4 linked regions of the Rattus norvegicus genome follow. The protein of the gene in region 1 purifies or fractionates together with the protein of each later gene. This does not show direct contact. Links are inferred from orthologs where the notes say so. Each region holds a gene or a part of one and is shown in the gene's direction. Other genes may lie near its edges.

Evidence for each region.
Region 2: the proteins of Magea10 (region 1) and Fam216a purify together in Homo sapiens (affinity purification with mass spectrometry; 3 studies listed by BioGRID and IntAct, counting the BioPlex papers as one, with this or other methods). This does not show direct contact. The link is inferred for Rattus norvegicus from reciprocal best matches to the Homo sapiens genes MAGEA10 and FAM216A.
Region 3: the proteins of Magea10 (region 1) and Foxj2 purify together in Homo sapiens (affinity purification with mass spectrometry; 3 studies listed by BioGRID and IntAct, counting the BioPlex papers as one, with this or other methods). This does not show direct contact. The link is inferred for Rattus norvegicus from reciprocal best matches to the Homo sapiens genes MAGEA10 and FOXJ2.
Region 4: the proteins of Magea10 (region 1) and Kat2a purify together in Homo sapiens (affinity purification with mass spectrometry; 3 studies listed by BioGRID and IntAct, counting the BioPlex papers as one, with this or other methods). This does not show direct contact. The link is inferred for Rattus norvegicus from reciprocal best matches to the Homo sapiens genes MAGEA10 and KAT2A.

The regions. Positions count from the first base shown.
Region 1 is NC_086039.1:155,251,490-155,258,948, reverse strand, and holds the end of Magea10 (melanoma-associated antigen 10), read left to right. Parts: intron 1-1,352; 5' UTR 1,353-1,442; intron 1,443-2,351; 5' UTR 2,352-2,408; coding exon 2,409-3,377; 3' UTR 3,378-3,914; downstream 3,915-7,459. UniProt on the Homo sapiens protein: Not known, though may play a role in embryonal development and tumor transformation or aspects of tumor progression.
Region 2 is NC_086030.1:39,860,617-39,868,650, forward strand, and holds the end of Fam216a (protein FAM216A), read left to right. Parts: intron 1-86; coding exon 87-145; intron 146-1,418; coding exon 1,419-1,540; intron 1,541-4,778; coding exon 4,779-4,908; intron 4,909-4,981; coding exon 4,982-5,153; intron 5,154-6,106; coding exon 6,107-6,189; intron 6,190-7,484; coding exon 7,485-7,639; 3' UTR 7,640-7,834; downstream 7,835-8,034.
Region 3 is NC_086022.1:157,737,551-157,745,762, forward strand, and holds the end of Foxj2 (forkhead box protein J2), read left to right. Parts: intron 1-365; coding exon 366-803; intron 804-1,208; coding exon 1,209-1,310; intron 1,311-2,220; coding exon 2,221-2,430; intron 2,431-2,929; coding exon 2,930-3,028; intron 3,029-5,367; coding exon 5,368-5,456; 3' UTR 5,457-7,900; downstream 7,901-8,212.
Region 4 is NC_086028.1:86,128,925-86,136,362, reverse strand, and holds the end of Kat2a (histone acetyltransferase KAT2A), read left to right. Parts: intron 1-1,599; coding exon 1,600-1,710; intron 1,711-2,035; coding exon 2,036-2,179; intron 2,180-2,396; coding exon 2,397-2,511; intron 2,512-2,609; coding exon 2,610-2,646; intron 2,647-2,738; coding exon 2,739-2,802; intron 2,803-2,902; coding exon 2,903-2,987; intron 2,988-3,128; coding exon 3,129-3,322; 3' UTR 3,323-3,828; downstream 3,829-7,438. Other genes in the region: ATP-dependent RNA helicase DHX58, read left to right, coding at 4,520-4,687, 4,910-5,111, 5,351-5,541, 6,504-6,620, 7,081-7,207, 7,365-7,438. UniProt on the Homo sapiens protein: Protein lysine acyltransferase that can act as a acetyltransferase, glutaryltransferase, succinyltransferase or malonyltransferase, depending on the context.

The DNA.
Region 1 (7,459 bases):
TCTGGACAGAGGATGCTCAATTAATGCAACCTGGCATCCAGTGGGGCCCACTTCCAGAAAATAGTCCCTTGCACTTCGGATCTTAGGTAGACCTTCACACTCCGTTCAGCTGTGAGAAAATGATGTAGTGCACCTTTGCTTCAACTTGTAGGGTATGAGGGAGGATCAGGCCTTGTTCTGAGGTGAAGGCCTCAGATCTGTAGAGGTAATGTACTCAGGCCCTGAAGGAGGAAAAAGGAAAGCCCTGATACTACATATGTAAAAGCTGCTTCTATTATATGTACAGACTAACCTGGAAAGACAATGGACTATGTCCAGGTGTAAGTTGGGGAGCAATGGTGGCCTGGATCTGAATGATAGAAGTGAGGGCCAGCAGATGCCTTGTGAGAACTAAATAGGAAATCCTTCAGAATCCCCAAGACAAGAGTGGACTCCTGATCCTTCTGCTAGTTTTGAGAAGCACTTCAGGGGTATTCAGATCTATCTTAACTTCTGTGTCTTTCAGGAAGTTGAGACTAAGTGAGTGGGATCACGAGAGAGAGATGGGGGGAGGGAAAGAGGGCCACGCCTGGTTACCAGAGAAGGTGTCTAGTAATCAAGGTGAGCAGACATGGTAAAAACTCAACATCTGAAAGTACCTATCATCCTCTACACAAGTTTTGCCCTTGTTCTAATGCCTAGGTGACCTTGAAGTGTGGTTGTTATGGCTGGGTTTCTTTTCTGCCTCAAGATTGGGGATAGGAGATCTGAGGGACTTGAACACCTTGGTAGTAAGATCTTCAGATGGCAAGTAAAGGGAAGAGTTTCAGGATGAGCCAGATCCCAGACATGGACCTCTTGTGATGATTGCATGTTTCTATAGCCCAGAAAGAAGGGACTATGGTGTCTAGCTGTGTCCTGAGACCAGCCCTTGGGGAAGCTAAATGACAAGTTTAATTAAACTAATTCAGGTGGGAAGGCAGGATATATTGGGGAAGAGGAGTAGTAGTATAACGAGAGCCTGTCAGGAAGGACAGGTCAGATGAAGACACTGCACTAAATGGACACAACAGAGATTAGTCTGAACCCTGTAGATATCTCCAGGGATCCCAATTCAGCATAGGAGCAATGGAGCAGCTGCTCAACCTCCTGATTATTTTCATGATCTCTTGATATTGAGGGACTTGATCTGAGTATGAGATCTTGGTTATTTGCAGGGGTTCTATGATCTATCATCAGAGTAGGTGTGAACCCCAAGGGATAGTTGAAAGTAACCCCAGTTCAGAGCACAGACAGGGCCCACAGAAGCTTATCTCCTGTGACTCCCATGTTCCAGGGCAGGATTGTCCGATCCCTTTTTTTTTTATTTCTAGGACATTGGTCTCAGAGATCTAAAGACCCTGATTAAAGGAACTGTGACTGAAGCCATCAGAGGGAGTCTCTCAAATCAGCCAGGACTCAAGGTAAGAATTGAGTGAGTCAAGTCACCTATACAGATGAGGTTCAATCCCTACCTACTCTCCCGCCAGCTTCAGGGACCCTATGAAATATGGAACTATTCCCTCCTCTCCTCCCTTCCTCTTTCTTCTGTCTCAGCAGAGTGGACCTTTGCTTAAGGTGTGTGGCCTAAGCTCATCAGAGGAACCAGAGCATCAAGCTGAAAGTTGGGCAGGCCCCTCATTCCCTACTTACAGAACACATTTAACTCAGGCACCTTTTGCAGTTGCCTTGAATAGATGCAAGATGAAGGCACCTTACTGTCTTTTCAGAGAGGAGGGCAGTTTGTTCAAGGGATTTGTCTCAGGCCAGCAGAAGGGTGGGGTCCAGGAGTTTGCTTCAGACCAGGAGATGGGGTGGAGTCCAGACCCTGATAGAAGAAGGGAAAACCCACAGTGGGCATAGAGGGAACTTGAGAGTCAGGTAACTCTTCACAATGCAGTTCAGGACCCTGTCTAGCATTAGGATTTAGTATTGACCTTATAGTCTATGGCTGTCGGGTACCTCATCCTCTCTCGCAGGAGCTATGTAAGGGTCTTGATCTGAGATTATTTCGTCAGGGGAAGCCCAGGTAGGGTCTAGAATAAATCTGAGGCACACACCTTGAATATGTCACATGTACCCGAAGCACAGTAGACCCCCTTTGCTTAGCTTCATACACACTTCTGGCAATCTTGAAGCCTCTACTCTGGCCCAGTTTCAGTCTGAGGAAACTTGTCACTACTCCCCTCAGTCTCTCAAGAGACAGACCTGACAGGGAAACAGGACTCCTTGTTGCTCTAGAGTTCACATAATAGAAATCCTGTTATCAGCATTTTGTGAGCATTTCCAGTGGAGTAACTGTCAATACTTCTACTGTCCTCTTCTTCCCCTAGGTCTCTGGGTCTATATCATCAAGCTCCTGCCTGGTGTTCAAGACTAGAGTCATCATCATGCCTAGACCTCGGAAGCGTAGGAGATGTATGGTTGAGGGACAGCCTGAGGGCCAAAATGAGACAGAGGGCCAAATGAGTGTTGCAGTTTCAACAGAAGAAGATTCCTCATCCTCTTCTACTTCTTCCTCTTCTTTCCCTTTTTCCTTCTCTTCTACCTCTTCTTCCTATTCTCAAACATCAGGCAACTCAGAGGAGGGCTGTGCTGCTTCTAGAGCTTTCTCTTCCTGCACTGCCATGGTTTCCTCTCCATGTAGCCAGGTCAGTGCAGATCCTGAGGGTGAGGAGAGTCCAGGCTCCTCACAGACCCTGCTATGTGGTGCTTCATTGTCTACAGGTGAGATAGATGTCAAAGTAGATGAGTTGGTGAAATATCTGCTCTTTAAGTATCTTATGAAAGAGCCAGTCAGCAAGGCAGAAATCCTAAGTAATATAATTAAAAATTATCAGGATCACTTTCCTGTTATATTTAGAGAAGCCTCAGAGTGCATGCAACTAGTCTTTGGCCTTGAATTAAAGGAAATAGATCCTGCTGGCCACACCTATATCCTTGCCATAGCCCTAGAGCTCACTTATGATGGCATGATGACTGATATTCAGGGCATACCCAAGACAGGCCTCCTGATCATGGTACTGAGCATAATATTCATGGAAGGCAACTGTATCCGTGAAGACATGGTATGGGGTGTATTGAATAACATAGGCTTGTATGCAGGAAGTGAACACTTTATATATGGAGAACCCAGGAAGCTCATCACTGATGATTTTGTCCAAGAAGGGTACTTGGAGTACAGGCAGGTGCCTGGAAGCCACCCTCCTTCCTATGAGTTCCTCTGGGGCCCAAGAGCCTATGCTGAAACCACCAAGATGAAAATATTGACCTTTTTGACCAGCATCAATGGGAGTGATCCCAGATCATACCCAGTGTGGTATGCAGAGGCTTTGAGAGATGAGGAAGAGAGGGAATAGGCTAAAAAACCTGGCCCCTGATACTACTGCTCTGAGCAGCACACATTATAGTGCACTTGCAGTTCCCAATTCAGATAGTTATGTAGTTCCGTGATCTAAGCAGCAGACCCTCAATCTAGAGCTGGTGGGAGGAGAGTGTGAGCCACCCCACTCTCACTGTTCTGTTTGGGTGACTCAGGGATGATTTTTCCTCTTAGTATTCTAAACTGTTGCTACATTTACTAGAAGGCTCATTAGGCTGAGTTTTAAGCTTCCAGTTTGTATTAGTCATGCACTTACTGCTGTTTATCCATGTTGAAAAAGCATTACTACTTTGTAAAACAAGTTGGGATGCTTTACATCAGATCTGCAATCTGTCACAAGACACCATGGTGTTGGGATTGGTATTTCCTGTGCTATGGGGAGGAACTGGATGAACAGAATAAAATTGTTAATAATAGAATAAAAATAATTGTTAATAGTTGCCTTATTATCTTTAGTTTCTTATTCTGATTAACTAATTAAATTCTAACCTAAGTAAATTAGTATAGTAAATGGGCTCCCATGCTCCAAACTTTCATTAAACATATGACCTGTATAAGGCTGCAAGTGTTAGCAGTGTGTCATAGGACAAACAGATCCGTGCTTTCACATAGATCGGGTGAGTATAGGAACTACAGCCCTGTGAGGAAGGTGGTGAAAAGTCCTTTCAGACCACAAGCACTAGTACAGGAAGAGGACTGCAGAGGGTTCTCCAGGAGTGAACACCACAAGGCAACTTGGGAGTTGGGGAGAGAAACTGCCAGGTAACTAATGTCATGTCCTTGGGAGCTGTGACTGTCTTCAGGTGAGAGGAGAAGAAACTGATCGCAGCATTCTCTTTTGGAGGTGGAAATTGCAGGGTGAATCAGACTGGGAGTGTCTAAGTGGTAGGACATTTGAGTAGCAAATGTAATTATTTCAAACCACAAATCCAAAATATGCAGAGAGAATCCCTGTACTGATACAGGGCTGGGAGTTATGTCTGAGTACACCATGTGACCTGCATGATTTACCCGGTCCCTCTGCACATGAGAAGGAATCATGGGAAAGCAAGGTCTAGAACTTCTGTCCAGGACCTCTTCAGTCCATCTAGTCAGGAAAGACTAGATGACTTTTTTTTTTAGTTTTTCCCCCCATCTTTATTAACTTGGGTGTTTCTTATTTACATTTCAAATGTTATTCCCTTTCCTGGTTTCCAGGCCAACATCCCCCTAACTCCTCCCCCACCCCTTTGAGATGACTTTTATTTTATTGTATTTTATTTATTTGCTATTTATTTATTTTTTCATCTTTATTAACTTGGGTATTTCTTATTTACATTTTGACTGTTATTCCTTTTCCCGGTTTCCGGGCAAACATCCCCCTAATCCCACCCCTTCTTTATGGGTGTTCCCCTCTCCATCCTCCCCCCATTGCCGCCCTCCCCCCAACAATCTAGTTCACTGGGGGTTCAGTCTTAGCAGGACCAAGGGCCTCCCCTTCCACTGGCGCTCTTACTAGGATATTCATTGCTACCTATGAGGTTGGAGCCCAGGGTCAGTCCATGTATAGTCTTTAGGTAGTGGCTTAGTCCCTGGAAGCTCTGGTTGGTTGGCATTGTTGTACATATGGGGTCTCGAGCCCCTTCAAGCTCTTCCAGTTCTTTCTCTGATTCCTTCAATGGGGGTCCTGTTCTCAGTTCAGTGGTTTGCTGCTGGCATTCGCCTCTGTATTTGCTGTATTCTGGCTGTGTCTCTCAGGAGCGATCTACATTCGGTTCCTGTCAGCCTGCCCTTCTTTGCTTCACCCATCTTGTCTAGTTGGATGGCTGTATATGTATGGGCCACATGTGGGGCAGGTTCTGAATGGACGTTTCTTCTGCCTCTGTTCTAAACTTTGCTTCCCTATTCCCTCCCAAGGGTATTCTTGTTCCCCTTTTAAAGAAGGAGTGAAGCATTCACATTTTGTTCATCTGTCTTGAGTTTCATGTTTTCTGTGCATCTAGGGTAATTCGAGCATTTGGGCTAATATCCACTTATCAGTGAGTGCAAACCATGTGTGTTTTTCTGTGATTGGGTTACCTCACTCAATATGATATTTTCTAGTTCCATCCATTTGCCTATGAATGACATTTTAATTCAATTGTCTCCAGTGCAATTTGGCCAATGGTTAGGAAGCTTTGGGTTTGCCAAGTTGGTTAAATGATTGAACATAGCAATTTAGGTGGAAAAGAAGCTAGGAGTGAGGGAAGCTTCTTTATGATTGAGATTAATCCATGCCAGTGTTTTCACATGAAAGATGATTCAGTTAATTTTATTCATGGAATTTCACTGTGGCTGGTTAGCTACTTCCGGTCTTGGTGACCTGCACAGTCTCTATGTTCTGCAGTCTCTATGAAGACTGGGAAGGGCAACCATAACCAGAATATTTTTGAAAACTTCTGTTTTCAATTAAAATAAAATTTAAAAGTATTAGTAACATAAGGGAACTAACATCCATCTGTCTGTCATACTGGGACTTTTGTTTTAAATGAGAATTTAAAAGTTAATTTTTTAATTTACTTCATGTAATACACAGTATCTCTAAGTATATATGGACCCTAAGTTTGATACATTGATACACTTTAACAGAATATAATCCCAAAAATCACTGGTCAGTTTTCCATAAAAGTTCACTGAACATGAACTACACAAGACATTTGGAAAGGCACCAGAAATACATCAGTTAAGAACATAAGTACCAGCACTACCCTTACAGAGCTTCAATGTCCCCTAGATATAATTAGTTCAATAGCAGTGAACAGTGAGGATAGAAAGCGGTGGCATTTGAAAGATGAACAGTTAACTGAGGGGAAGTCTTTACACAATGTTAAACCATTTGACGCTTAAGAATAGGGCTTCTTGGCTCTATTTAATATGTATTAGGTGATATAAAGGATTTTGTGCCCAAGGCACTCAGATGAAAAAAAAATGCAAGTATACATATTTGGGGTTGTCTGTGGACATTATCAATATGTTGTCCTCTGTTTTTTTCTCTTGATTTCTTTTTTTTTAAATATAAGCTTTGGTGGTTAGGTTTAATTTTTTTATTAACTTGAGTATTTCTTATTTACATTTTTTCTTTTTTTTTATTAACTTGAGTATTTCTTATATACATTTCGAGTGTTATTCCCTTTCCCGGTATCCGGGCAAACATCCCCCTCCCCCCTCCCCTTCCTTATGGGTGTTCCCCTCCCAACCCTCCCCCCATTGCCGCCCTCCCCCCACCAGTCTAGTTCACTGGGGGTTCAGTCTTAGCAGGACCCAGGGCTTCCCCTTCCACTGGTGCTCTTACTAGGATATTCATTGCTACCTATGAGGTCAGAGTCCAGGGTCAGTCCATGTATAGTCTTTAGGTAGTGGCTTAGTCTCTGGAAGCTCTGGTTGCTTGGCATTGTTGTACATATGGGGTCTCGAGCCCCTTCAAGCTCTTTCAGTTTGTTCTCTGATTCCTTCAACGGGGGTCCTATTCTCAGTTCAGTGGTTTGCTGCTGGCATTCGCCTCTGTATTTGCTGTATTCTGGCTGTGTCTCTCAGGAGCGATCTACATCCGGCTCCTGTCGGTCTGCACTTCTTTGCTTCATCCATCTTGTCTAATTGGGTGGCTGTATATGTATGGGCCACATGTGGGGCAGGCTCTGAATGGGTGTTCCTTCAGTCTCTGTTTTAATCGTTGCCTCTCTCTTCCCTGCCAAGGGTATTCTTGTTCCCCTTTTAAAGAAGGAGTGAACCATTCACATTTTGATCATCCGTCTTGAGTTTCATTTGTTCTAGGCATCTAGGGTAATTCAAGCATTTGGGCTAATAGCCACTTATCGAAGAGTGCATACCATGTGTGTTTATCTGTGATTGGGTTATCTCACTCAGGATGATATTTTCCAGTTCCATCCATTTGTCTAGGAATTTCATATAGTCATTTTTTTTGATAGCTGAGTAATATTCCATTGTGTAGATGTACCACATTTTCTGTATCCATTCCTCTGTTGAAGGGCATCTGGGTTCTTTCCAGCTTCGGGCTATTATAAATAAGGCTGCGATGAACAT
Region 2 (8,034 bases), on another chromosome or scaffold:
GTAAGGAGCACGTGAAGCTGTCATTAGACATTGACATTGACTGTCAGGATGCCTGATTACGTATAATATGTGTTCTTTTCTGACAGGTCAGCTGGACAGTCTTATCACCAGAATTCCAAAGGCACTGGTGAGCAGCATAAAGCAGGTAATACATGTAGATTACAGATTTGAGAGAAACAGGTTACCTGTAACTGTACACAATGGAGGGTTTGTTGTTGTTGTTTTGTTTTAAAGATTTATTTACTTATTTATCATGAGCACACTGTAGCTGTCTCCAGACACACCAGAAGAGGGCATCAGATCTCATTACAGATGGATGTGAGCCACTATGTGGTTGGTTGGAATTTGAACTCAGGACCTCTGGAAGAGCAGTCAGTGTTCTTAACTGCTGAGCCGTCTCTCCAGCCCCACAATGGAGTTTTAACAATAGGCTCAAAGGGCTGTCAAGATGGTGGGAGCAGCTGCTAAGGGCACTTGCAGTCAAGCTGGACTACCTGAGTTTACTTCCCCCAGAACCCACAGGGAGGGGAGAACTTTTTTTTTTTTTTTTTTGAGTTGTACTCTTAAAAAGAGTTTCAAAGATGAGAGATGAAAGCTCTTTACCTTTTGTTACTGTATAACACTTTTTTTTTTTTTTGGATCTTTTTTTCGGAGCTGGGGACCGAACCCAGGGCCTTGTGCTTCCTAGGTAAGCGCTCTACCACAGAGCTAAATCCCCAGCCCCTGTATAACATTTTTTTAAAAATACCAGTGACAGGGGTTGGGGATTTAGCTCAGTGGTAAAGTGCTTGAGGCCCTGGGTTTGGTCCTCAGCTCAGGGGAAAAAAAAACAAAAACCAATGACTTGTAAAATATGTTGAGAATTAGCAATGGTTGGAATGCACAGGGCAGACCTGTTTTTTACATGTGGATGAAAGGGAAGAATCCTGCATGAGCAGCTTCAAAAACCATAAACTATTTCATAGGGAGCTCTTTCAAAATAGCTCTTTTTCTGATGAAGTTAAGAGAAAAAAAAAAAGTCCCTAAAGGCCTTTTGCAAGTTAAGGGATAAGGGGGGTTAGAGTGCGCTGGCCTTGGAGACATGGGTGTGTGTACAGGGGATGTTCGAGGACAACTCTGTAGAGTCATTCTCTCCTTCTGTTTGACAGTCCAGGGACTGATCTCAGACAGCTAGACATGCTGGGCAAATCCTTTACCGTCGTCAGGCCTGTACCTCATGTTACTTGCACTGAACTGGGGTGATGCCGAGCATCTTTTTATGTGAGACACGTGGATTCCAGATGTTTGTGTGTTTTAAAAATAAAGGGCATATTATATATTGTCTCAATATTTAACTCTGCTTCACAGTAATCGTTGGTAGTCATAAATATTATTAATAATCTTTGCCTCAGGAAGTCATACGATGTCTTTGCCCACAGAGAGAATCAAGGAGGGACACAGAATGTCCTCACACACTGCCAAACTGCAGGAGTTATGGAGAACTACTCAAATCCAAACAATTCACATCCCTAAATCAATGACAGATGCGTCTTTTCTAAAGGTAAGACAGATTTCTAAGTGTTAACTATGGTATGTGTGGAGGTCAGAGGAAAACTCATGAGAACCAGTTCTCTCCTTCCACCCTGTGCGTGCAGAGGTCAGACTCAGGCTGCCAGGCTTGGCAGCAAGCGCTTTTGCTTGCAGAGCCCTGTTACCAGCCCTGAGATGTTTCTGGGGGACGCCCAGGGCCTCGCACATCCTAACAAGCTCAGCTCCCGAGCTATAGGGCCAGAACTTGGGTCTGAAGATAAACTGCTCAGGTAGAATCTAAGGTGCTGCAGACCACATGGTACACACCTAACAGACCGTCAGTGAGTCCGTGAAGGGAGCTTCCTGCAGAGATGTGGTGATCTAACACTGGGGAGCCTGTCTGCTTCCTTTTTTCTTCTAGCTCTTTCCTTTGGATGCTGGCCAAAGCTAAGCATGCTTCCGCTGCCACTCTAGTTCCTCACTGCATCTCTGACCTCCATACCTAGCTTGAAAGGCATGACTTTTTCTCCACTTCTCTCCTCCTGGCAGCTGCGGGCATTTTCAGTTTGCCTGGCTTATTATATTTCCCCTCAAAATTAAAAAAAAAAATTGTCCTCAGTCTTCAAAAACCAAACAAAAAAGAGTAGGACTAGGCCTTACCCCAGCACCGGAAAAACAGAAACAAGCGGATCTCTCTAAGTCTAAGGTCAGCCTGGTCTACATAGGAAGTTTGAAGCCAGCCAGGACTACATAGTAAAATCCTGTTTCAAAAAACAAATAAAAAACCCAAAACTAAAACCCACCCACACCCAAAACAGAATCATTCATTAAATATGTTGGATAAATTCATGAGTGACTTCAAGGATTATAAGTTAAGAGTCACAAAGGTTCTTTCCAGGAACTTCAGAGCTAATACATTTCTATTAGGAAGATCAAGTGCCATTCACCAAGACACTCCAGCGATAAAGCCCAAATTCAGAGCCTTCACTCAAGGACTACAAAATTAGAAGCAAGCAGTAGAGAAAATGGCATCGAGGGTTTTACAGCTATGGACATGTGTTCTCCCTGGGTCACAGTGGAGAGCTAAGCATGGTGGCATGGACCCGTAGCTCCTGCTACTGGGGAGGCTGAGGCAGAAGGGTGACTCGAGTCCAGAAATTGAGACAAGCCACAGTAACACAGTGACACCTTGTTCAAACAAACAGACCAAAAGTCTAAGGAGTAGTAGCTCGGCTCATGGCTGTTGGGAAGTACAAGCAAGAAGATGGGGAGTTGAGGCCAGCCTAGGCATTAGGAGACTCTGTCTCAAATAAACAAGAAAACTTCCCATAGCTGGTTAGAGTCTCATTTCTAAAGTATTGTAGTTAGTAAAGAGTTCTTTAGACTAGTAGTTTCTTCTGCCAAAATTCCTACTTTAGGTGAACGACTTATTCAGTAATGTACATTTTATGCCTACATATACATGAGTCTTGCATCTTAAGGAAGGAAATATTTTTTTTAAAAAAAGGACGTACATTCAGTCACAATTTGATTAAAGAAACCTAGTATGGGGACACACACTTATATTCCCAGTGTTCAGATGGAGGCAGGAGGACCAGAAGTTCAAGGTATATAGCAAATTCAAGGCCAGCCTGGGATATATAAGAGCCTGCTTCAGGGGAAAAAAATTAGGGGCTGAAGAGATGGCTTAGTGGTTAGAGCACTGAGTGCTCTTCTAGAGGCCCTGAGTTCAATTCCCAGCAACCACATGGTGGCTCACAGCTGCCTTGAACTCCAGCTCCAGGGGTTGGTTGGACACCCCGTGCATCATCTGTACTTGTGTGCATACCCACAGATAGACACACAAGTTTTTAAATTGTAGGTTGGAAACTGACAGTATGTTTCACAGAAACTAGCAGGTATTTTTCTGCTCTGGAAAAGGTGTTTCTTTAGTTGAGACAGTAAACTAAGGTGCTTTCAGGTACCACCATCTTATACCTTAAACATCAGAGTGACAGGCAGTGGCAGGGCAGATGGCTCAGCTGGGGAAGCTGTTGGACACCAAGCCTGAACCTGCATTGGATCCCTGAGATCACACAGTGGAAGAAGACAACCAAAAGCTGCAAGTTAGACACACACAGACACACGCACACACACTCACACACACACACATACACATGCACACACACTCACACACGCTCACACACACATGCTCACACACATACACACACACATGCACACGCTCACACACACATGCACACACACATGCACACAAACACACACGCTCATACACACACATGCTCACACGCTCACACACACACATGCTTACACACACACATGCTCATACACACATACACATGCTCACACACTCACACACACACAGCTCACACATACATGCACACAAAGTAAATCAAGCAAGATGTCCAACTTGAGAAGGTAGATGGGAGCTAAAGCTTGTGGACAGAGAGCTGAGCCCCTCTTTGGTTCTCAAAGCTCAAAAGATAACATGAATTATTGTAGGTGGCAGCTACAGCCATTTGCATGTTTTAATAAACCATCATTTCCTTTTCCTCTGGGCAAGTCGAGATAACTGAATTTGCTTGTGAGAACCATAAAGATGAGGTGGGACAGCCCTCAACACCCATCCTTTTAGTAAGAAGACTACTGCCTTGTGTTGTACAGTGTCGTGGGTCTCCGCAACCACCAAGGGCAGCATTATGTCACTCTGTGAAAGATAAGGCCATTCAGCTCACCACAACTCAGTAGCTGGTGTTGGCTCAACTCGAGTCTTACCTCCAGTAGCTTATTTCAGGCATCTGTAAACACAGCCCAATTTGGGAAAAGGTTTCCTGGTGATAAAGAATTCTACCCATGTACACAGCAAAGTTTAAGACATAGCCACATGGGGTTGGGGATTTGGCTCAGTGGTAGAGCACTTGCCTAGCAAGCGCAAGGCCCTGGGTTTGGTCCCCAGCTCCGAAGGGAAAAAAAAAAAAAAAAAAGGAAAGACATGGCCACATGAAGACTCTTGGTAAAGTAGACAATAGGTACTGTAGATTACCTGAGGAGAGAGGCTCACAGGTCTTTCTTTGACAAGGGTGTGGAGGAGCAACACAGGTAACCCAGTGATCTCTAGGCTATTAAACGCAGGTTAAATATCCACATCTCTCCCTTAGAAGAGAGGACCCTGTATATTTGACATTCCCAGCTCTCCCAGTGTCTCTCTGTGAACATAGGACCTACATGCCTCCTACACTCTAGCAGTCAAGAGCCCCCATTCTGTCTTTCAGCATCCAGAACTCACCTCAGGCCAGAAGCGCTACCTGTGCAGCATTGCTAAGATCTGCAACTCCAGCTATCTGAGGACCTTAATGAAGAGGCAGTACATGCATCTGTTTCATCACGGGTTACAGAAGCCAGGCAGGTGTCCCCCACTTGGTTTCTTGTCAGTTTAGAAGTGAGAGCATCTTCTAAGAGGTGATTTGTGTTCCAGGTGTCCTCACTCATCATAGAAGCCATATCAGCTCTCGATACTCACAGAAACAGCATTCCCCCTGCACTACATGGAGACACCATCTGGAGAGAGAAGACTCTCTGGGCATTGCAGCAGAAGCACCTGAAATGATCATACATGCCCTTTGGAGACCCCTGAGACACAAAGAAGGGTCTGTCTGGTTCTTGAGTTTAAGAAGGAAAAACCACCCAGTTCTGTGTACAGAATCTGGGGAGCCTCCTGAGATTAAAACTCCCATTTCCTACAATCACTCCCCTAAACTCAGATGAGGGAGGCCACTTCCTCTTCCTTGAAGTGAGTGGGATATGACATTAAGGGCGTCTGAGTTTCGGTGACAGGATGTATAGCCCAGGTATACCTCAAATGCAGGGTAATCTCTTGCCTCAGCTTCCCACATGCTAGCAGTATAGGCGTGCCACCACACCAGGTGTTCCACTTTCCCACACAGCATAATCTGGACGTATAAGCATTTCTCAATCAGGACAAGAAGGTTCAGCAAGTAAAAGTATTTGCTATGCACGCTCAACAACCTGTGTTTGATCCCTAGAACCCAGGGTAGAATCTGGTAGAGCAGATTCCCCAAAACTATCCTCTAACCTCCATACATGAATCACATGAACCATAGCAACCACCCATATTTAAACACAGAATAAATAATAATAAAAAGAATTCTGGATCACCAAGAGCTAGACTGCACTTCCCACTCAAATTCCAAACAATAGATTCCTCCAGAAACATGTAGTGCTCCTGCAGAGGGGAGTACTATACAGCCAGGAGGAAGAACAGCAGCTCTCAGCAGGTGTGGTGGCATAAGCCTGTAGGCTCAGTACTTGGGGGGATCAGAAGGTTACTTAGTCAGTTTGAGACATGCTTGGATTACATGAGATTGTGGTTCAGAAAATAACCCACAGCTTACAGCACAAATGTGTCAGTCTCCAAACTGATGGCAGTGCTGCACTTCAGGGTTAGCGGATCACAGGATAATCTGGGGAATGGGGGTCTTTGGTAATCCCAGCAGCTAGTAAAAAGAACCTTATTTTATGTTTGAGACTGACAGCACTGTTCACTTTACTGTCTCCAATTAAAATATTTCCCTTTTCACAGGTTAAAAATTGGATATGCATCTAAAACAAGATGCAAGTCCCTGAAGATTTTTAGAAGACCAGGCAGACTGTTCTTGCTACCAGGTAACACACCACACACACACACACACACACACACACACACACACACACACACACACACACACACACACACACACACACACACACAGTTAAGGATTTTTGTTTTTGAAACAAGGTCTCAGAACCAATCCTCCTGTCCCTACTTCTGAGCACTAAGATTATAGGTGGGCAGGGTTACCATGTCTGCCTTGCACTTTTGAACACTTTGCTTAAAAAACACTAAATACAGGTTGGGGATTTAGCTCAGTGGTAGAGCGCTTGCCTAGGAAGCACAAGGCCCTGGGTTCGGTTCCCAGCTCCGGGGGAAAACAAAACAAAACACTAAATACAGTCATTCTAATTAAGCCTTGATTAAATATTTTAAGTGTGATGAGTTCTGACCATGGTGGCACATGACATAGGTCCCAGGGCAGAAGCAGTGAATCTGAGCTCCAAAGCAGCCTGGTCTACACAGCAAATTCAAGTCCAGTCAGAGCTGCTCAAGAATACCCTATGTCAAACCCAAAACTAAACATGAAGCAACTTATGCCTCCATTCAGAATTCACTACTCAAGAGAGTGAGATTCAGTCTTTTTCTCCTGTGCTAGGCGTGTGCTCTGCACACAGACTTTCACCCCAAGTCCTTCAGGGTCTGTTGTTGTTGCTGTTGGTTTTGTTTTAGGCAGGGTCTCTCTCTCTCTCTAGCACAGAGTGACTGATAACCAAGTGCTAGGACTATAGACTTTGCCAGTATACCCAGTATCACATGTATTTTGTAGGTGCTGGCTAAGAGTGTGCAGTCCTATCCCAAGAGTCCAGTCCAAAAAGGCCAAGGATAGATACCCTGGCAGAGGACACATTGCCAAGGTCCTCAAACCATGAAAGAAAAACTAAAGGATATGGAGACACTGAAAACATAACTGAGTGCCACGAGTTCTAATTCTCTCACTGAAAGGCTTTGAAAATCAGTGGGAATAGTGTATACTATACTATGCGTAGCACACTTAGGGTGCTGTGACTACCGTAAAAGAGACTGGAGGAAGTGAAAGGTAACTAAGTTGAAAACAGTAGGGGACTTGTTTTTGCAAAAGCTTCGTAAGCCGGGCCACTTGAAGTGGTGTTTAGAAGTTCACTCCCAGGCTTGTGTGTTGGTGCACACCTTTAAGGCAGGCGGCCCTCTTGTGCAGTCTGTGGGCACCAGGCACACACACAGTACATAGACAAACATGCAGGCAAAATACCGATACACATAAAATGACAGTAATAAAACTGGAGAACTTTATTTCAGAACACATTATAAACGCTTATCTTCCCTTTAGTTTCTTCTAAGGATTATCAGCCATGCATGAACGATGAGACAAAGGAAGAGGATCTACTGAATGAGTGCATGCAGTCCATGTCCATTCAGGAACAAGGCTCATCTCATGCCAGCCTGACAGTCTCGTGTCCCACACCAAGTTCAGCCATCCCCTAATACCCACATGTTGAGCCTGAGGGGACAGTGAAGAGTTGGAACCATGTATGGGATAGTGCTAGTAGCTGCTGGTATGTTATTTTAGTTATTGAGAAATTTATAATAGCCTTCTTCGTCTAATATATTTCCGTGTTATATCTGTAATGTATGCTTGTTTCTAGCTAGAACAATTAAAATTTTACTTGCCAAATAAAACTGAATTTTAAGTTATGTTTATTTTCTGTGCATTGGTGTTTTGCCTGCATGCCTGTCTGTGTGAAGGTGTTGGAACTCATGAAGCTGGAGTTCTAGACAGTGTAGGCTGCCCTGTGGTTGCTGGGAATTGAACCCCAGTCCTGGAAGAGCAGCCAGTGCTCTTAAACTGCCACTGAGCCATCTCTCCAGCCCCCTGAATT
Region 3 (8,212 bases), on another chromosome or scaffold:
AGGTGCAGCAGTGTCTGCCCAATAGCTGCGTTTTAATTAGAGTTTAAGTTTTAAGTTTCACTTACTATGTGAGTTCCTTTGAAACCAATCCCAGCCCTACATTGAAATCCCTTAAAAGTAGTATGAATTGTCACTAGTGAAGTTTAAAAATTTTTATTAATATTCCCGTGGTCACCAGTGGGGCAGACCTAACTGCTTTTTCCAGTCTCTTATCTACTAGAAGCAACACATGGTTCTCTCTTGCCGTCAGAGAATGAGCTCGTGTCATTTCAACTCTCCTGCCTGAGCTCTCATCCTGAGAGAAGATGTCATTTAGCGAAACCGTGTAGCCCAAATCATTTGCCGGCTTCCTCTTCTCCCTGCAGGCTTTTCCTCACTCCTTGGAGACATGCCACCTTCCAACAACTATTACATGTACCAGCAGCAGCAGCAGCAGCAGCAGCAGCAGCAGCAGCAGCAGCAGCAGCAGCAGCAGCAGCAGCAACAGCAGCAGCCACCGCCGCAGCCTCAGCCCCCACCCCAGCAACCACAACCGCAGCAGCAGCAGGCACCCACTCAGGGCCCCTCAAATGTAGGGGGTGCCCCTCCACTGCACACCCCAAGCCCCGATGGCTGTACTACACCAGGGGGAAAACAGGCAGGAGCTGAAGTCTACGGCCCCCCCACTGGGATGGCCATGCACCCTCCCCCACTGCAGCATGGAGGCTACCACCCTCATCAGCACCATCCCCACTCCCACCCTGCCCAGCAGCCACCACAGCAGCAGGCACAGAGCCAGGCACCCATCAACAGCACCGGCTTTGGTGAGTAAGAAGGGTACAGAGAAAGCTGGGAGGAGCAGGATCGAACTGTTTCCTGACCGGCATGGAGGTACCATGGGTGAAAAAGCTAACAGTTGGTCTCTGAGGGTCAATCTCTTGCCTTTCTACCTCATCTCAGCCCATGGAAGTCACTACCGAAAGCCCTGTACTCTGGAGGATTGAGGTTGGGGATTTCCTTGTTCCCGGTCCATATTCGCAGATGAACTAGGATGGCTTTACATCTCTGCCCGTGGTGCCTAATGGACAGGGCACGTTTCCGTTCCTGCATCTCCAGGGAGGGAGTGCGCACAGCTCTGGTGCTGATGCAGCTGTTAAGCTGGGTCGCCGTGAGAACCTTGCATGCGTAGACTTCTCTCTCTGTCTCACCACCTCATGCTCTCTTCACAGCCTTTCCTCCAGACTGGTGCTCCAATATTGACTCCTTAAAGGAAAGCTTCAAAATGGTGAACCGGCTCAACTGGTCCAGCATCGAGCAATCCCAGTTCTCAGGTTGGCGCTTACGGGACCGCTTCTGAGAGAGGGAAGGGGGGACCGCTTCCGGGAGAGGGAAGGGGGGCCACTTCCGGGAGAGGGAAGGGGGGACCGCTTCTGGGAGAGGGAAGGGGGGGAACCGCTTCTGAGAGAGGGAAGGGGGGACCGCTTCCGGGAGAGGGAAGAGGGGTGTTGTGCTAGAACCCATGTGCTTGGCCAAGAGCGTTTGGGACAGAGTTTCATTTGCATATTATACAAGATAGACATATTATCGATATTTTTAGGTTTGACTGGAAATTTTGCTATTATTCAAATATTGCAATGTTTTATGCTAGTTGTCTTCTGGGGAAGAGGAAAGGCCCCTGGGAATTCAGAGACTCTGGGCCACCATTTTGCAGTTTTGCTTCTTGGCAGAGAGATGATAGTGAGTTCATTAAGTCACTTTGAACATTTTTATTCATCAAGGAGATACAAATTAAAATAAGAATTTGGCAAGGAACAAATAATAGTAGAAGTAACTTGTGGCCTCTGGGTGACTACCCAGAGGACTCCCGTTAGGACTCCCGTTAAGCAAAAAAGAAAGTAGTCTCAAGTTTTGCAAGAAGCATCCTTAGCTAGAGTGCAAAACGTAGACTTGCTTCTAGTCTGTGTTTTTTATTCTAAAAGTGTCGTGCAGCATAAGGTTAATGTAAGCAGTCGTACAGAAGAAAATTCTAATTAAAAACTGGCACGTTTAATGATTCTTGTTACCATATCTCATTTCAATAAATGCTTATAGAAGCAAAAAAGAGAAAGGTATAAATCATTATCGTTAGTACGTGACATTAGTGGTACAAGATGTGAGGAGACCGTGCACCAGGGACGGGTGTGGTGCGGGCTTTGGCAGCGCCTCACTCGGGGTTACCATGGCTGGCGTTCTTGTTTCTAGAGCTGATGGAGAGCCTACGGCAGGCAGAGCAGAGGAACTGGACCCTCGATCAGCATCACATCGCCAACTTGTGTGACTCCCTCAACCACTTCCTCACCCAGACTGGTCACATGCCCCCGCAAGGGGGCTCCCACCGACCACCTGCCCCTTCCCGGATCACTGACTCCTGTGCTCTCACCAGTGGCAAACCGGAGCCATCTATGAACCAAGGTAAGATGCAAAGTTGACAGAGAAGCGGAGACTGAACTAAGTGAAGGGTGAAGGGAAGGGAAAGAGAAATGCCAATCAGTTTTCTAGGCAGTGATCCGGCTGAGTCCCGGGACCAGCTTGTTGACTGAATAAAGGATTTTTGCAGAAGCCGTAGACTAAGTTCCTTTTACACCTCAATTTGGAAGATAAGAATTACTTTTTGAAAGGAAAGGGGACTTGTTAAAGAAAGTCCTTATTCTAAATTGTCCCCATAATAACCATCACCTGTATCCCACTCGAGTCAGTGAAAATGGAGACTTGATCAAGTGTCTGGTTTTTCTCTCACCTTTGATCCAGCCTTTCCCACCCTAAGAGCTGAGGCCGGTGGCTTCTGCAGAATGCTTCCTGCATGTAGAATCTATAAAGCAAGACAAGAAGAGAGACAGAGACATGTTTTCCCTTCCTGTCATGTTGACAACAGTAATCCCCCATTAAAGTGACTCTTGTTTTGCTTTGGTAGTGAACTCTTATGGGCACCCGCAAGCCTCTCATCTCTACCCTGGCCCAGCACCAATGTACCCAATCTCCACCCAAGACTCAGCAGGATACAGTCGCCCAAGTAAGCCCTGGGGAGTGTTTCACAGACAAGCACACTCACCTCTCAGTGTTGTTTTGTTTTCCTCTGACATCTCTCTGCCCTTCTGTCTGTACCTGCTAGAATGGGTGAGGCGTCATGGTCTCCAAGACTGCAGGATGAGATGAGCTACCCTCTAGGGAGGTGTGCATAGGTGCGACTAAGAAAGGCACTTTTACTTAATTAAATTCTCTTTGTTTGGTGGTACTGGGAATGGAGCCAGGACCTCACACACACTATACAAGGGCTTTACCTCTGAGCTCCCCCCTGCTAGCTTGTCTTTAAATTTACCTTATGGGGCTGAAGACATGTCTCAGTGGTCAGGAGCACCAGCTGTTTTTCCAGAGGACCTGGGTTTCATTCCCAGCACCCACATGGTTTACCTGGCTTGCAGTGGTCTGTAACTCTAGTTCCAGGGGATCTGGCGCCCTCTTCTGGCCTTTGCTGGCACTCATGAATGTTATGCACAGATGTACATGCAGGCAAAACACACACGTTCAACAAAGTGATTTTTTAAAAAAAAATTAAAAAAAAAATCCTGCAACTACAATATCGAAAGGAAGTAAAATTATGAATGTAAGTGAAGGGCAGCTGTGAGGGATATTTAGCTTTGGAACCAAGAGGGAAGATGGGCAAGTGAAGTGAACACTTCACCTAAATGGCTTTTACCCATGTCTGGTTTCCTGTCACCTGATCACTAGCGTCAGATGTCTGGGGCCAACACGTCGGTTTTGGTTTGTTTTGTGTTGTCATTGTTTTGTTTCTGTATTGTCATCTGTTGGGCTGAACTTAGGGTCTCTCGCATGCTAGGCAAGCGTGGTGCCACTGGGTTGCTTCCTCAGCGTGGGCTTGAACCGTCTTTGATGGGTCGGGATGCTGAGTGCAGGGAGGCACTGAACCACTGCAGACAGTGCAGAGGAACAGACTCCTCATGTTGAAAAGGCGGTTCACCGTCGCCATCTTCTCTGGTCACAAGTATTTTCAGTTTTGAAGGTGATGTCTGTTTCTTTGTCCGGGAGCAGCAGATGTGACTTTCTGCACTGCTCTTTCATATGCTATCACCTAATTAAGGTGTTTTATCACTGTGAGGTACCCTTCACAGATGCAGAGTTTATGGCAGGATAGTGCCAGATCACCACTTGCTCCAGTGTGTTTCCTGGGGTGTCACTGAGTTGTTAGTCTGCAACAGAAGGAACCCAGCTGTCATCAGAGGGGTGTCATCCAGCAGAGACCCATTGCCAGACGCTGGGCATGTGGATCCAGGGGAACCCTGTGAAGATGGAGAGGAAGGGTCATAGGAGCCAGGGGGTAGAGGGTCTGAGCTAGGTCCTCTGCATATACTTATGTAGCTTGGTGTTCCAACAGCGGGGGGGTGGTATCTCTGACTCCTTTGCCTGTACTTGGGATACTTTTCCTCATACCAGGTTTCTATGTCCAGCCTTAATATGAAGGTTTGAGCCCAGTCTTATTGTATCTTGTTTGATGAATATCCTGGGAGGACTGTTCTTTTCTTTTCTTCTTTCTTTTATTTCCTTCTCTTCTTTTCTCCTTTCTTTCTTTCTTTTCTTTCCTTCTTTTTTTTTTTTTGAAAGGAAATAGGAGGAGTTGATCTGGGGGAGAGGGGAGTTGGAGGGAGGGATTAGGAGAGAGAATAACTATAGTCAGGATAAAATGTATGAGAGAAGCATTAAAAACGCTCATGCACATAAAATAAAAAATTCTTTAAAGTTAAAAAAAGAACTGTAGGCTAATTGGACTATAGGCTGACTGACTGACTGTAAGCTGACTGACTGACTGTAGGCTGACTGGCTGACTATAGGCTGACTGACTATAGGCTGACTGACTGGACTGTAGACTGACTGACTGTAAGCTGACTGACTGACTGTAGGCTGACTGACTATAGGCTGACTGACTGGACTGTAGACTGACCGACTGTAAGCTGACTGACCGACTGTAGGCTGACTGACTGACTGTAGGCTGACTGACTGACTGTAGGCTGACTGACTGACTGTAGGCTGACTGACTGTAGGCTGACTGACTGACTGTAGGCTGACTGACTATAGTCTGACTGGACTGTAGACTGACTGACTGTAAGCTGACTGACTGACTGTAGGCTGACTGACTCTAGGTTGACTGACTGTAGGCTAACTGAAGACTGACTGACTGGACTGTAGGCTGACTGATTGGACTGTAGGCTGACTGTACCAGTGTTATCTCCAGCTTTCTTCATGGTGTCATTGGGGTAGAGCACTCACTCCCCATCCAGACTGATGGAACTTGCTTCTCCTTCAGCTTCTTTCATGATCTGTCTTTCTTCTTGACAGCACACCACATGGTTCCCCGGCCACCTGTCCCACCTCCTGGTGCCAATGAGGAGATCACTGATGACTTCGACTGGGACTTGATCACTTAACAAATCACAGTGGACATCAGCCTAAGACCTGGTGGTGAATTCTAGCCACGGGGGAAGAACAGTCCTGTCCATCCTCCCCAAACCTGTATATAGATATATAGCTTCCTTCTGTTCTCTCTGTCAGAGAAGCCACTGCAAGATGCTGCCGAGGATAATCCTCTTTCCCTCCTCATTCTTCGTTCCCTTTTAGTTCTTTTATTATTATTCTAATTATATTGTTATTGGTTATCTGCTGCCCAGTCTCCTGCCCTCCTACCCTGGGCTTTGCCCATTTGAAATCTTCAGGCCTCAAGATGAGGCCATGATAGCTGTCAAGGAAGGCTTTACATTCTAGTTCACCTTTCTGTCCGAGAAGCTCAGTGCTGATCCCACCTTCCAGCTCTGAATTGTGTTCTGGTCCTGCCTGTTTCAGGCTGGCCTGCAGAGGCCTCAGTCAGTAGAGGGGAGTCTAAGACACTGCTTGGCAACCATAATGTTGCAGCTTTACTCAATGGTGCTAATTGTGTCCTCTGAGCTCGCCTATTAAACACCCAATCTTTACTATGTTCGGCAGTCCTCATGCCATGACGGCTGGACTTGGAGAGCTGGGCTCGGTGGAGTCGGTATAACCCAGCGTGAGGTTGGGTGTGCACTGCCATGCCAAAGCACCCCTGGCTTCTCCCAGCCGTTGCTCTAGGAGGTTTGCTTGTCTGCTCAGGCACAAAGACCACTGTCCATCATAGTTTAGCTTCTCGGAAACAATTTCAATTTAAGGCATTTTGGCTTTGGAAAAGGAATTCTTTCTGAGAGTTAACTGACTATTCTGCATATATCAATGACCTTCCATCATCTCTTCTTCTTCAGCAAATACTATTTTGTCTTCCTAAAGCTGTTTGTCCAAATCATCCACCTGTCTTATCTTTTGTTCTCCCATTTTCTGGGATTCTCAAAAAGACAAAAGGAAGCCATTCTCACTCCTAGTCCCCTCATGTCGTAGACATGCTGTGGAAACCTCTTTCCCTCCCGCCTTGGCAGACCTGTGGTCCTGCTGCTGGGAGGGTGGGGAAGTTAGGGAGCTGGCGTAGACCTGGGTGGGGACCTGTCACTGCGCAGGGAGATGCTTCTCTTGAAGTTCCTGTTGGTGGGGTGGAAGCTTTTGATTTTGACAGGCAATGAAAACTGTAAGACGGAAATGACTAATACAGAGTCAGGGCTCAGCGAGGGCAAGGCGCACCCGTAGGCTCGGAGTGAGGAGTCTCCACTAAAATGAGCAGCCATGACTTACGGCTGCAGAGTTCTTAGCACGTGTGTGGCTGTCTTGCGAGAGAGAAGTCCAGTCTCACTTCCATCGTATTTTCACTAAACCTTCTGGAACAGACAAAATGTGTTGTATCTTCCACAGGGCCAACCTCTGTGATTTTTGTTCATATTCTCTTATTTATCCACGATTTCCGAGACACTGAGCTTCCCATTCTCACTTCCCCTCATCAACCCCTTTCCTTTCTTTAGAAGGGGGCTTATGTATGAGACTGGTGGAGTCCAGTGAAGTAAAGGGGGCAAGATGGGGGCAGTTCACTGAAGAGCACTTTATTTCTTTGTAAGGAAAATAAAAGGGAGTATAAGGAAAAAGAGTGCGCTCCAGCACAGTGTGCAGTGTACTGGAGAGCATCTGGTAGGGCCGATGCATGACAGACGCAATGTTTCCCTCCCGGGAGAGGGGTGTTTCCCCACACACACCCTGCCTGGTGTCCTACTAGACATCTCTTGCTGTTCCTTCCATTCAGGTGTATTCTACACGGCTTCCCTTTGGTTTCCTCAAGGTCTTGCCCTTGCACAGTACCACCTCTTTTCCTAAGCACCTTTCCTGGTCAGATCTGTCCCAGGTTGGGGGGCATAGGCTGAGTCATACTTCCAGATGCCCCTGGCTTCTCCATGTCTTGAGAGCCAGTCTCCCTGGTGGGCAGCCTGAGCAGCTGCCTTGGGCTGGAGACTGGAGGGTGGCTTTAGGGCCCCCTGAGGCTCTAGCCTCTCCTGGGTCAGGCTTGCAGAATGGGGCAGTTCAAACCTGGTCCCCCTTGGGCCTCAGTTTCCCATGCCCTCTGTGACATGGAAAGAGAACTACACTTATTTTGTTGGTCCGATGTTGCTGGACATGAAGTATAGTCATTGCTGTTGTCTTGGGTGATGTGTGCACAGTTGTAGGGGTCACTGCCTGTAAGAGGAAACAGGGGAGACAGCAGAGGAGCAGGACAAAGGAGAAGTCATTTGTGTTGATTCACCTATCCTAGGCTTCCTCTCCTCAACCCCATGTTTCTGGTTTGGTGAGTTCTTTACACCACCCATAATGCTTTGCATTGGTGCAGGCTGGGAAGGGGGGGTGTATGGGCTCACAACTTGTTTGGTTTTTTTTTTTTTTTGTTTTGTTTTTATTTTTGTTTTGTTTTTGTTTTTTTGCATGCTTTCTTAATAAAAAAAGAAAAGAACGTTTCTAGTTTTTATCTCATTTGGCGCTTCTCACTACTTTTTGCCAGGTTGGGAGAGGAGAAATGTGAAACAGGGTGTTCTTGTTAGTACTCTATCAACCCATCATGGTTAGGGTTTACTGCTGTGCAGACACCATGACCACAGCAACTCTTATAAAGGAAAACATTGAATTGGAGCTGGCTTACAGGTTCAGAGGTTCTGTCCATTATAGTCATGTCAGGGAGCATGGCAACATTCGGGCAGACATGGTGCTGGAGGAGGAACTCAGAGTTCTACATCTTGACCCTCATGTA
Region 4 (7,438 bases), on another chromosome or scaffold:
TGGAGCAAGCCAGCCGAAATGGCAGGATATCTGTGCCCCAGCCCTTGCTGTATCAAGCAGACTTTCCACATACTCCCTCAGGGTGGCAGCTTCACCTTGATAACTGATCATTGAGAAAACACTGGGCAGTGGTGATGCAGGCCTTTAATCCCAGCACTGGAGAGGCAGAGACAGGAGGGTCTCTCTGAGTTCGAAGCTAACCTGGTCTACAGTGTGAGTTCCAGGACAGCCGGAAACACAGAGAAAGCCTCTCTAGCAACAGCAAAACAGTGGATGTCATTCTGAGGGCCGGGGAGATGGTTCTCTGGTAAAGCGTAAATGCGAAGGCCTTCGCTTGATCCTCATCACCCACATTAAATAAAATGATAAATAATAATAAAATACAGATATGATAAAAATCAGCAGGGTAGGGTAGTACATACTTTTGATCCCAGCACTCGGGAGGAAGAGGCAGAGGCAAGGCCTTCCTGGTCTACAGTTTGAGTTACAGGACAGCCAGGGTGTGCAGAGGAACCCTGTTTTGAAAACACAAACAAAAAGTACCCAAATCAGCAATGATTTTTTTTTCTTTTCTGATGCAGGATGGAATGCAGGGCCCTGTGTACACCAGGCAAATATTCTACCACTAAGTTCTGCTCCCAACGATCTTTTGTTTTTTTTTTTTTATAATAAATAAATAAATCTTTAAAAAAAAAAAAAGAATTTATTATATATGAGTACACCGTAGCTATCTTCAGACACATCAGAAAAGGGCATCAGATCCCATTACAGATGGTTGTGAGCCACCCTGTGGTTGCTGGGAATTGAACTCAGGACCTCTGGAAGAGCAATCAGTGCTCTTAACCGCTGAGCCATCTCTCCAGCCCCAGTAATCAGCATTTTTATGTTAACCTTAGGGACTTTTTGTTTCAGAGAAGGGCCCATATAGCCAAGTCCAGCCTTAAGCACACTGTGTAGTCCAGGGGTACCTTAGACTTGTGATCCACTTCTCCCTGCCTCCAGATTACTGGGATCACAGGTGTGTACCCCCACACCAGGTCTTATCCATTGCCAGGGATCGAACTCAGGTCTTTGCGCACTCTGAGTAAGTGTTCTGCTAACTGAGCTCTACCCCACGGCAGCAACACTTTCCAAGTGAACCTTTGTTTCTTGGCAGGAAGGTTTGCATGCCTTGGGGAGTTGATAGTCCCAGCTTCTGTCTCTTTTGGCAACAAATTACTTTTGGGCTTTTCGTTCTCCCGAGTTGTGTGCATTGTCTGTATGGTCCTGACATGAGCGGGCCTCTGTGACCCCTTTCTGTTCTTCCCCTTTATTCTGAAACCCCAGCCGTGTTGGGTTGGAGCCCAGCTCTGCTGCGTCCGTGGTCCACTGACCTCAGACTGTTCTTCATACACAACCTGACTTATCAGGGTCTTTTTGGTGTTTTTCCTGCGAAATGGGGCTTTTGACCTAGTCATGGGCTAACTGGCAAATGGGTCTTTGAAGAATCAACCTGGAATCTGGCCCTGAGAGAGGAGCATCTAGAAACCCTTTACTTTCTCTCCGCAAACTCTGATCCTCTGCTGGCCACCTGACCTCCCTGCTCCGTCTCCCCCACAGGGCTATGGCACCCACCTGATGAATCACCTGAAGGAGTACCACATCAAACACAGCATCCTGTACTTCCTCACCTACGCCGACGAGTACGCCATCGGCTACTTCAAGAAGCAGGTGAGCCTCGGAATCACTGCACCGCCACCTCGGGCACCGTCTGTGTGCACAGTGCCCCGTAGAGCTCCTTTTGGTTGCCCACTGCACCCGGCACCGGTGAGGAAGCCCCGCCCCCCCTTCCTGTTTGCTCCCAGTGAAGAACAAGGCCAGGGATTGGAAGGTCCTTTGGGGATTGGAGGAGGTGAGGAACAGCCGTCCTGGAGCCTTTGCAGAGGCACACGGAGTTCAGAGATGTAAGAGGAGGCATGCTCTACACCAGAGAAGAGACTGTGAAAGCTGGAGAAACCTGGCTGATGGATTGGGTCTTAACTCTCCACCCATCTAGGGCTTCTCCAAGGACATCAAGGTGCCCAAGAGCCGATATCTGGGCTACATCAAGGACTATGAGGGAGCGACCCTGATGGAGTGTGAGCTGAACCCCCGCATCCCCTACACAGAGCTGTCCCACATCATCAAGAAGCAGAAGGAGGTACACATGTCTGCGCAGGGTTGTGCGGGTCTGCACTGGGGAGCTAACGCACTGAGACTTGTCGTACGTGTGTGTTTATGTGTGGTAGAGACACACCAGGTCGTAAGTTCCTGCCCTGCCTCTTAGAAAAAGCCAAAAGTAAATGCTGCCATTTACTGACCATGGTCTTGGGGGTGGTTGGGCCTGAGCTGGCTCCCTCAGACCCTTGCTTCCTCAGATCATCAAGAAGTTGATTGAGCGCAAACAGGCACAGATCCGAAAGGTTTACCCTGGACTCAGCTGCTTCAAAGAAGGAGTGAGGCAGATCCCTGTGGAGAGCGTCCCTGGCATTCGTGAGCAGGGGCCTTGGCTGAAAGGGCAGGAGGGCATTCTCCGGGCATGGGCAGGCATTCTGAGAGATGTTTCCCCACCCCCCCCACCCCCTTTGCAGGAGAGACAGGCTGGAAGCCACTGGGAAAGGAGAAGGGGTAAGTGTTCAGTCAAGGGGAATGAACATGGAATGGGGGGTAGGATGGGGCAGAAGAACCCAGACCTCAGACTTGATATCTCTCATTTCTAGCAAGGAGCTGAAGGACCCTGACCAGCTGTATACGACCCTCAAAAACCTGCTGGCTCAGATCAAGGTGGGAGGCCAAGGTCCTCTTGTCGGTAACAGAAGTGGGTGGCAGTCTGCGGTTGGGCAGTGAACACTGGGCCTGTCCTCAGCTCATCTGTTCTCTCTAGTCACACCCCAGTGCCTGGCCCTTCATGGAACCTGTGAAGAAGTCGGAGGCCCCTGACTACTACGAGGTTATCCGCTTCCCCATTGGTGAGGACCCTTGTACTCTCATCCCTAACACGTGCCCCAATCTATTACTGTCTGTGCGGAGTCAGGTACCCAGCATGGTGGGCATCCTCAGTTTTCTCCTTTCACCTCTTAAAGTCATGTGCCTTCTCCCTTGTGACCCAGACCTGAAGACCATGACAGAACGGTTGCGCAGCCGCTACTATGTGACCCGGAAGCTCTTTGTAGCCGACCTGCAGCGGGTCATCGCCAACTGCCGGGAGTACAATCCCCCAGACAGCGAATATTGTCGCTGCGCCAGTGCCCTGGAGAAGTTCTTCTACTTCAAGCTCAAAGAAGGAGGGCTCATTGACAAGTAGTGCCCAACTGGGGTCTGCACTGTCCACCTCTGTCTCATCAGATCCGTTTGGGTGCTCCCGGACCCCCTCTCCCTGACTCAGCGGGAGAAACTCCAGCCAGGGGCCCCAAATCTTGCAGACTTTGGCCAGCAGGCACTTACTCCCAAGCCTGCAGCTCTCTTCCCACCTTCATTGCATCCGACATTAGGGAGGTGTCTGGTCTGGGGCCAGCCCCTTGTAGAATGTCTGGTGGCCAGGGAATGAACTGCTAGTCCTTACCGAGCTATGCAGGCTGAGCGTCCTGAGCCTGGTCCAGGTGCCTGTTTCCCGGGACCAGGACTATTCAGTGAGGAGCCTCGACGTGGGAACAGCTCAGACTGGAGGAACTATGAGGGGCCTCGGCTCGTCCTACACTGTTGTCCACCTGTCCCCCGGGGTTGGGGGCAGGAGGACCATTCATTCCTTGGCATTAATCCCTTGGAGGGAACAATAAAGCTTTTTTTTTTTCCCCCTGTGTGATTATTTGGGGGGGGGGGGTGTCCAGCTCCAGACTTAACAGATTGACCCTCGTTCCTCTAGTCCTTCCCTTTCTTACCTGGAAGCCTAACTTCAAGCTACAGTGGTGCCACTGACCCCTGCTATATATGGTGGGGTGATGGGCCTGTCTGACCGCCATCCCTCACCTCTTCTGCTCCAGTAGCTTCCAGCCTGTCTCACCTGCAAAGGGAGAGCAAGAGCTTGCCCTTAATGCCTGTCTCTTCCCTGACTCCTGGACCAGGAAGCAGGCAGCCAAGGCCCGCACCTCCAGGCCTTAAGCTCAGCCCGGGGGTGGGGGTTACTGCCCCCTGAAAACATGAGGAGCTAGAGAGCCCAGGAGCAGTGAAGGCCTACCTATTCTGCCAGTATCTCCCTTTCCAGTCTAACTTTTATTTCTTTTGGTGGCTGGGCTGGGTTCCAGCTCCGTCTGGCTCCTCCCCTTGTTTCAGTTTCATTTCTCTTCATTGACTGAACTGTCAGCCTGGGGCTTTTCAGAGCTTCAGAAACCTCAGCAGAGACCAGGCTAGTCTGCTATTCATTTCCAAACCCCATCCTAATCCTGGCCAGGGTAAGTTCCAGGTAGGTATCTATGAGTTCTTGGCTAAGAACAGCCTCTGCAGCTGATTGGGCTGTCCGGCAGGAAGGGGAGGGTACGTGTTCTGAACCCTCTGCCATTCCAGAATGGAGCTGCGACCCTACCAGTGGGAAGTGATCTTACCTGCTCTGGAGGGCAAGAACATCATTATATGGCTTCCCACGGGTGCTGGGAAGACCCGGGCAGCTGCCTTTGTGGCCAAGAGGCATCTAGAGACAGTAGACCGAGGCAAGGTGGTGGTACTGGTTAATAGGGTGAGTGATCTACCCTTCCCGGAGTGGGGTCTCTCGGCTCATCTCTTCTAGACTAGACTACTGCTCTGCCAGGTCTTCTCATCTTGGTTCAGGAGATGGTTGGGTCCTGAATCATGTCCTGCCACGTTGTTCCTCCCAGCTTCCCCGACCCCAACTCCCAACAACTGCCATTTCCCACCCCCGACCTCAATCCAGGTTCTCTCCATTATTCTTCACTCCCAGGTACACCTGGTGAACCAGCATGCCGAGGAGTTCAGGCGCATGTTGGATAAACAATGGACCGTGACAACCCTGAGTGGGGACATGGGATCACGAGCTGGTTTTGGCCTATTGGCTCGGAGCCATGACCTGCTCATCTGTACGGCAGAGTTACTGCATCTGGCGCTGAAGAGCTCTGAGGAGGATGAACACGTAGAGCTCACAGGTGAGGAAAAAGGCATAACCTGCTTAGAGGACGTGCTCCTGGGCAGAGAAGCCCTCCCCCTCCCTCCAGCTGAGCCTCAGTTTCCTAATCTGTAAATTGAAAGATAAGTCATTCCTGCCCGCTCCTTGCCAAGTAAGGAAGGGAAGAGGAAGTCCTCAGACAAGAATGGGGACTTCACAGAATTGCTGGGAGGAAGAAGTGCCAGGCGCAGCTTACAACTGTCTCTCATGTGCCCCCAGAATTCTCGCTGATTGTGGTGGACGAGTGTCACCATACCCACAAGGACACCATCTACAACACCATCTTGAGCCGGTACCTAGAGCATAAACTGAAGAAGGCAAAGCCCCTTCCCCAGGTCCTGGGTCTCACAGCCTCCCCAGGCACTGGAGGAGCCACCAAGCTCCAAGGGGCCATTGACCACATCCTACAGGTCAGCTGAGCCCCTGAGCCCCTCCTACCATAGATCCTTGCTTGTCCTGCCTCCCAGTCCTACCACACATACCCTTCATACACTGGTTTCTTCAACTGTCCTGGACATATGAGGCTTGTGGGACCCTTTGAACTTACTATTCCTTTTTCCCCCGGAATGCCTTTTCTTTTGAACCTCCATCAGATTCCTTCCCACCATTCAGCAAACAGTCCTGTCATTGTCGCAGTCTCCCCTGGCCATCCCCACTACTCTGTCATAGGGCTAGTTTTAATTATTTAATTATTTTCGGAGTTTGTCACAAACTGGAAGCTGTTTGAACTGGGAGCTATGAAAATGGGAACTGCTTTTCTTTCTTTAAAGATTTATTGTGTGGGGCTGGAGAGATGGCTCAGCGGTTAAGAGTACCCGACTGCTCTTCCAGAGGTCCTGAGTTCAATTCCCAGCAACCACATGATGGCTCACAACCATCTGTAAAGAGATCCGATGCCCTCTTCTGGTGTGTCTGAAGACAGCTACAGTGTACTCATATATAATAAATGAATAAATAAATCTTTAAAAAAAAAAAAAGATTTATTGTGTGTACAGCGTTCTGCCTTGCGTGTATGCCTACAGGCCAGAAGAGGGCACCAGATCTCAGTATACACGGTCATGAACCACCATGTAGTTGCTGAGACTTGAACTCAGGACCTCTGGAAAGAGCAGCCCGTGCTCTGAACCTCTGAGTCATCTCTCCAGCCCTCTTTGCTGATTTTCAGTCGTCTCTAAATGGACGTTTGAACCTAAGCTCCTCTCTCTCATCAATTCAGGAGTATTAGTGACTCACAGGACACACTTCAGACTCCTTGAGACGAATCCCAATTTGCAGTGGCCCTGCCTCAGGCTTTCCTGTCCTTAACCAGGACCCCACCTCCCTCGGATCCTGTCTGACTCCTCTTTCCCTGATGCGTTTCTGTTGCCTCCAGCTCTGTGCGAATTTGGATACGTGGCGCATCATGTCACCGAAGAATTGCTACTCCCAGCTGCTGGAGCATAACCCAAAGCCCTGCAAGCAGTATGACCTCTGCCAAAGGCGCACGCAGGTGTGTGAGGGGTCACAGGGCAGGCTTGGGGGAGGGGGGTCTGGTGCCAGGTTAGGGCACCTAGGCTTGGGCCCCGACTCCACCTTCCCTAGCTCTTGTCACTTCAGGCCCTGGCCCATGCCTTTTCTGTGCTTTGAGGCACCCGCAGCCCAAGTCCAAAGCCTACTGTGCGGATTGGCTCATGGTACTGTCAAGCCATGAAGACAGGGTACTTGTAATGACAGGGCTGACCCAGGGCTCTCCCTCCATATCGCTGTGCTCAGGCCACGAGGCAAAGGTATAATGTAGGCGAGACAATAGAAGCTGCGTACAGGGATCTGATCCCTGTCTCCAGCCAGAATGCTTCACGCCCAGGGATTTGAAGTTCTCACTCTCAAGGAAATGTACTGAATCCTACGTAATACCTAACCCTCCCGTGAGTATGGGAATCCCCTCATCCCCCTCACTCCTTCTTGCTCAGGATCCTTTTGGAGACTTGCTAAAAAAGCTTATGAAGCAAATCCACCAACAACTAGAGATGCCTGACCTGAAGCAGCAGTTCGGAACCCAGATGTATGAGCAGCAAGTGGTACAGTTAAGCAAGGACGGTAAGAGGGGCTTGGGATGGGGGTGGGGAGCAGCTTGCGAGCCTGTCTGGGCGGAGCCTTTGGGGGCGGGGCTTCTACACTTGAGGTGTGGCCTGTCTGGGTGGAACTTTTAGGGATGGAGGAGCCTCCAAATTGACCCTGCACCTTTTTCCTGCAGCGGCAGAGGCTGGGCTCCAGGAACAGCGGGTGTATGCGCTGCATTTGCGGCGCTACAATGATGCTCTATATATC